Bombyx mori: one gene and its partner. The protein of the gene in region 1 purifies or fractionates together with the protein of each later gene. This does not show direct contact. Links are inferred from orthologs where the notes say so. Each region holds a gene or a part of one and is shown on either strand. Other genes may lie near its edges.

The links. The genes of interacting proteins can lie anywhere in the genome.
Region 2: the proteins of partitioning defective protein 6 (region 1) and partitioning defective 3 homolog purify together in Drosophila melanogaster (affinity purification with western blotting; 7 studies listed by BioGRID). This does not show direct contact. The link is inferred for Bombyx mori from reciprocal best matches to the Drosophila melanogaster genes par-6 and baz.

What each region holds. Positions count from the first base shown.
Region 1 is NC_085126.1:2,330,675-2,334,367, reverse strand, and holds the start of partitioning defective protein 6, read right to left. Parts: upstream 2,823-3,693; 5' UTR 2,655-2,822; coding exon 2,595-2,654; intron 158-2,594; coding exon 1-157.
Region 2 is NC_085116.1:6,900,654-6,904,313, forward strand, and holds part of partitioning defective 3 homolog, read right to left. Parts: coding exon 3,268-3,660; intron 2,228-3,267; exon of another isoform or gene 2,106-2,227; coding exon 1,945-2,105; intron 1,579-1,944; coding exon 1,456-1,578; intron 530-1,455; coding exon 409-529; intron 1-408.

The DNA of each region.
Region 1 (3,693 bases):
TGTTGATGGGTAGTAAATCGCCGTCCCTAGGATCGGTGTATGATATCAGGAAGGCGACGTCGTGTAACCGATGCAGTTTCTCGATTAGCGCTTTGAAATCGTCATATTTCAGTTTCTCGGTACGATTCAGCGAGAAACGACGGAACTCTGCATCGAACTGTAATGAGAAAAATGTTATTTTTTAAAATACTTAATTATTCCACAGAAACTTCAGAGTGTATCTAGTGTACATATTTTTAGTGACCTAGTGAACTGCTCATACTAGATGAAGCAAACGAGTAGGTGAGCTTGTAGAACCCTAATCTGGGACGTTACTAGCACTAGCCCTAACAAAAGCAGTGCTTCGTAGAATCTACCACCGGATCGGAAACGCGACCTACTAAGATGATTCGGCAAGAAGTTTAGTGGGCTGTGTCTTAGTATTACTAAATCTTTAATTACAATGGTTTTTTTCATTATTATTGAGGAGACAAGCAAAATAGCTTTGAAAACCCATAGACGTGACAATGTCAATGCTGCAAGCTATTTTGAAAGATGAAGTCTCAATTGCACAGTATTATTTAATGAATGTCCCACCCTATAACTAGAATGCATAACTTCTTTATTGTGGAAATAAGTAGGGTGGTAATACCTACCCTTACAGGCCTACCTAACTGATTAGACTAAGAACATCAGGTATGTCTTCAATAATCAGATCTACTAAAATCAAAATAATATAAAACACAGTTGACAAATAGCATTTCAGTTATGACAGTTATTTCATTGACAAAGTTATGAGAAACATCACCTTTCAGTGTGTTAAGGAACACAGTGGGTCAAGAGGTTTTTATGTAGTTGAGTCCTATATGTCCCATTTCATTGAAGGGGACATATCCCATGGCCATGCTCAGGACAAATAAGTTGATTTGTCAAATTGTAGAACTGTGTTATATATATTTGAGTTAATCTGACAATAATAATTAGAAAAAATATTTGAGACTTTATAAAAATCGCTCCAAAGTCGTGATTGAGTGAAAAATGCACTAATACTATAAAAATGAGGATACGTGTATCGTTTCATACTGTGAAGATCCTGAACATCCAGCCTTATCTTTATTGGTATCAGAAAAAGTGTGACAAAAAATAGTTTAATTTATAATATTATAGTGATTTGTATCTCTGGATTATATCATTTTGTAGGATTCATTATCAATGGACACAACTTGGGTTTTTAAAATTTAAACTGAAAAATTGATTGCCATCTTTTTTTGTCCAGACACTAGAGATATTTTTCAAACATTCTAATGTTTATATAATCTCATAGTCTTATAAAGTCCGTTGCTCAGAATATCAAAAAAATTACTAAAATACTTAATTAAATAGTTTTTGGCGAAGTAACATTTCAAACGCACCCAGGCAGATTAGTCATAAACAAACCCAAGACACTAAATATATGACTAATACACAATACTATGTGTAGAACAAACAGAAATTATGAATTTTAAGAAAAATTATAGATGTTTTTGGTGCAGGACATATTGTGGATTGTCACAGAGTATTTACGACTTTTTAATTTTGTCATAAAATTTCAAGTTTTATTATTGATTTTTATGTGATCTCTTTGTTTTAGAAAATTATTGTGTTCATGGTTAAATCGCTTTATTTTTATTAAAACACAAAACACTTTTTGGAATAAAAAAATGCATGTCTCAATTTATTTTATTAAGATTTTTGTTTTAGGTGTATAAAATAGATAAGTATTAATGGAGAATTTGTTCATGCTATCAGTGTTATGTGTAAATAGTAGAATATTTTACACTTATAAGAGTCTACATAGTGTATATTTACACTTATGTGGCCAATTTTTTTGTAAATGTGAATATACCATGTAATCCTTGATGTCATTTTATATAGCAAGTTTAGCCATTACTAAAACACTGACTCAACTGACCTATACCTTGTTGCGAACATTAAAAGTTATTTATAGGTGTCCTAATTTTTGCAATTAATGAATGCAATTTCTTACTAATGTTATCAAGAGAAAACACTATACCAAAAAGCAACAACAATAATGGTATATTGTTATAATTTCCTCTGAATAAGAGCCATCTCAGAACAATATAATGATATTCTTGACACAAGAGAAAATCATTGATTAGATTGATGAATCTGATATAGGTTGTGTTTAGGTATGCAACTGGTAAGCACCACATTTGCATTTTATAGATTTAGTTATGAATTACAACAACAGGAAACAACGGACCTTCTTGATATGAAAAAAAAATGGAAGTTGTCATTTTGCATTCAATAATGTAGTTTGTATTGTAAACAAACAAGGTATATGATAATTTAAACTCAATATTTACTTTAAAAATATATTGTATCAACAGCATGAATATGGTAATATTCTATTTACTGTACCCCCTCAGATACATTTAAAAAAACTAATATTAATCTTCCCAGTTTTGCAGTTTGATTTCTAAACTTATTTATTTGTAATGCAGTTAATCTAATTGAGTCCTTCGTACGTGAAGATAAGAACAATGTAAAATTTGCCCAAAACATGCCATTTATTTATTCTAAACGAGTTACAAAATGAGAAACGTTAAATTTACCTTCGTCTTCACCTCGACAGTTTGACTGTCAATCCGAGCTGCTATCTTATTTTTAGACATCTCGAAGGCATTTATCACAAAACTAACACACTTGTAAAAAAAACTATTTAATACATCTAGGCACTTGATTTCCGAAACAACATTGTAAAATTTAACATAACAATAATTTAATTGACGGTAACCATTCGACTCGCGTCATGCTCGCGTCGTAATTTCCAGTAGGTTTTCTTTGACATTTAGTGTCAAAAATGTTTTTAAGTGACGTCTCCGTAACCAATATTAAAGTGATTCTTTTGTTTGTCGAAGTTTTCATTGGATATTTACGAAACATTACAGTTGAGAACAGATTTAGTTCTATATTTTATGAATTCTCGTATTTTTTTAAGGGATTTTATGACCTGGTAACTAAGACCTTTAGGTCAAGTCTTATTTTAATTTTAATGATACGTAACTTTTTTTATATGAAAATGATATTATGAAATGAAATGAAGTTGATTATTATGAAACAGCATGAAGTGAAATGAAAACGAAATGAAATGATATGGGATGAAGTATAATCTCAGCAAAGTGGTGGTCATTTACTGAGATTTTTTCAGTGGACTTTTTGGAGGATCCCGAGAAGTTACGTCCAGCGGCTTTGTTTCATTTTCCCACATTTGTGCACTTTTACAGATATTAAACAGTTAATAAACTACCGTTATTACACATTTAAACCTGAAGAAACACTAAATAGACAAAATAAAACAAATTACACAACTTCACTCCTCGCGTTCCCGCCAAAAAGTCTGGATTTTTGGCTTGACTTCAGAATTTTTTATCTGCTCCTAATGAGGAGTAAAAATTAAGTCCATATCTTTATATACCTAGGTAGTGTTTTTTAGGTCAGTTATTATAAAAAAAAAAGAAAGGTCTTGTATGAATTAGAACCTAGTAGCGTCTCTAAAAATATTTAGTTAAAATAGTGCAAGTCTACTGTCACACCATTTTTAAACAACTTGAAACGCTGTGAAAAACTCATGTTGGTTTTCTGAAGGCACCATATGGCTTACAATATTTTTTACTGTGTGTGGTTCAGAAAAAGGTGTTTTGAAAATTTACT
Region 2 (3,660 bases), on another chromosome or scaffold:
TAATAGCTCACATATTAAAAATCTTTAGTCCATGAAAATGAAAAGATATACAATGGAAACGATACAATAATATATTTAGTTTAAATTTTAAACGCATGTTGCCCATTGTATTATTACCTTATTTGAACCCTTTTTTGAATTAGAGAAAACGGTCTGCGTATTGGAATAAATAATTCAGTTACTCAAATTGTAAACGGTTTAAAAGCTCAAGTGTACATACATCAAAAAGTTACAGCGATCCTCAGTTGTAATTTAAATAGGTGAAGTATATTTTTTTCTATATTTTGCAAAGCTTTAATAATATTAGTCTCTGCTGCACATTACACGAAAATCCATGTTAATTTCTTAGTTTCTCTGAAGTTCAAGTAGTGAATTAGATTTTCACGATTACTTTAGTATAAAACAAACCTGAACATTGTCGATAAGGACTTGAGTAGCGACGGTTTCTTGTGCGACAGTGAAGATTGTTGAGGCGATCCTCTGATGATATCCGGGCCGGCGTTGTCGTCAGTCAACCAGTGCTTTAACGCTGTAATCAAATTCACTATAAGCACGAAAGGTCATTCACAATACTGTTATGATTAATCAAAGTCGGACGTGTTGGATGGACCTATGTATAAAGTAAACGAAATTAAGGTCCGTTAACGATGGCCGGGACACTTGGTCAGAGGAAAAGAAAAATGGAACAAAATAACTACACATTGGTACCCAAGGGAAGGCAAGAGGAAAAGAGGCAGGCAACAAAAAAGATTGGACGATGATATCAGGCAGGTTGCGGGCATAACATGGAGTAGAGTAGCCAGAGAGAGATTAGAATGGAGTAGGCTTTTTAGAGGAGGCCTTTGCCAACTGGCAAACGGACTTACAGAAAGTAAAGAAGCACCAAATACGTGCAGTAGTATAAGAAACTTAATTGTATATCTGTTGTCCGAATAAAAGGCTTTGTTATTATTATGTATACAGTAAACGAAATTAAGGTCCGTTTTTAATCGTAAATACCAGAAAACTTCAAACGCAGACTTTCAATTTGTCTGTCTGTTTTCGTACATAACAGGTTTCATAATTAAAAATTTCTGCTGTTCAAAAAACCGCGTCGGAGCCCCTTTTAAGAGAACTCAACTTTTTCCCTACCTATTCGATGGTAGCCTAAAAGGCTATTCCCCCTACGCCCGGACGGGTAGGTGAGCTCACGGGCTCAACTTGAGAGAATTAGCTAACACTAGCTCTAACAAGAGCAGTGCTTCGCGGAATCTACCACCGAATCGGAATCGCGACCGAGAAACTCATTGGGCTGTCTGTGTCTATGGGTTAGTTCGCTTGTCGAACTCTTCGTCGTAATCGACGAGCTGAACTCAACTGAGTAGTCGAGGTGATGTCCGTGGGCAGCGTGGGCCCGTCTCTCCTCACACCCTTCCCCGCCAAGCTGTTTTAGTATAGTAAAAAATTAATACTTACGTGGGTGCGCTCGCGCATAAATAGGTTCATTTCTGGGATTCCTTTGGTTTTCTTGTATAGCTATCTGGAGTGATTCCAAGCTGGAAGACTTCCTCATACCGAGTGCGGGACCAACTTGCATTGCTGTTTTAAATAATCATCTTGTTATCAAACTACACGTATTATGGTAAAGATAATTTAGAAATATAACATTTATTATAAGTTCATTTATTCTCATCTCATTTAATGTATTTCCCTTTCATATTAATTTCATTTATTTTTATTTAACACCGGACAGAGACGTAAGCTGGCTTACCAATGTCTGCAATAAAATCCTGCGTCCCATTTGACCGTGATTTTAGGCCGTTGCTCATGTACATCAGCAATGTCAGAATTATAACAAAGTCGTGTTTCACAGAAGCTACCATCGGATAGGGAACGCGACCCACTGAGAAGATCCGGCGAGAAACTCAGTGGGCAAATTGAATAGTAGTTATAGTTTGAACTCACAATGGATGGCCTTGATTTCTTTGATCTTCTTGTAGGTGCCGGTCTGCTTGGCGTCCATGGCGGCGTGTCGCTTCTCGGACATGGAGCGGCGCCCCACGGCGTCCCGACTGAAGCCCGCCGCGGCTCCGCACTCGCTGCCGGACTCGCCGCCGCCGCTGCCCCTGCACGCACAACACATATAGATAAATTAAAGCACTATCTAATCACAAACTTAACTAAACATAGGCTATTTATTTCCTAATATACATACTCATAATCCATATATTAATACGTGAAGCAAAAACTTTGTACCCGTTTTTACGAAAATTGCGCGGACGGAAGAGTATGAAATTTCCCACATTTATAGAGAATATAGGGAAGGAGTGCAGAACGCAAATTTTTTTTTTAAATTAGATTCGGTCACCCCGATGGTCCAATGCAGCCTTTCCCAAAGTGTGCGATAACGCCCCCATATGGGCGCTACAGGCCAAAGGGGGACGCTAAGAGACCCAGAAAAAAAATTGGAGTGTTATGTAGAGGCGATTTGTAATTTCATCTAGTAGGACTCTTAGACACCGACTGAGCTCTCGCTATAGTGGTTTTTAAGTAGGTGAGAAAATGGGGGCGCTAAAAAATATATAATAAGTTTGGGAGCCCCTAGTCTAATGGTTAGCGACCTTGACAATGATACTACAGGCATCAGGTTCGATTCCCTGTTGGAGTCAGGAAGCGTAAAAATATATTATGAGTTAACGTCTGTGTGTACCATACATAATACAGAAGAAAAATTTTCTTGTACTTAAAAATACTATCATTATTTATCAGCTCAAATAGCAGTGAAACATCAGTTACTTTATTGTATAGGTTTTTTTTCTTAACATCAATTAGTTCAATAAAAACTTGCAAAATCTATCCCACTTGAAATGTATTGTTCTGGGAAGATCTAAGATGCCGACATCGCACACCACTAATTAATAGCCAGAGTAACCGCTATCAATGCAGCTCGCTATGAATTAAAAAAAAATACACAATTAAAATTAACAAAAGTTATTGAAAGCTTTAGAAATTTAAATTTGACTAAAAGTTATCCATATAGTGGCTTGCCCACACACTCATAATCGCTCCGATGGAACTGACGTGATGACGTTATGGTCGTCAATAGATATACCGAGCTAAGATGTTTTGAATAATTTTACAGTGCAGCTAGAGAAATATTATTAATAAATACGAACTTGGATGAAACACTTCTATGGTAGTAGACTATATTAATAAGGTAGGTATTGAAATGAATTACTTACACTGAAAGAATATAAAAATATTTGTATTAAATCTAGAATAACTCACCTCGTCGTACCATAGTCCTCTTCAATGATAACGTTGTGATGAGCCGGCGGCGATCGAGACATATGTACGTGTCCTAGATTCTGTCTATAATGATGTCCATTCATTTGCGGAACATCGACCTGGGTTGCCATGTAATAGCTCTCGTTTCTTAGTCCCGTCAATCTATCGATCACTGGGTTCCATCCATCAAGCCGACTCCACTCGAAACTATCCCTTTTGGCGTCGTGAGGTACATCCTTATCTCTCTCTAAATACCCTTTAGTGTCATCGGATTGGTTTGAGACCCAGCTGCTGTTGTTGTTTATGGTGACTATGGAAGCGTGTTTTTTGGGGCCGGTTCTTGCTTCGTGGCTATCGAAGGCCTCGTTCTTGTTGGCGTCGTAGTTGTGGTTG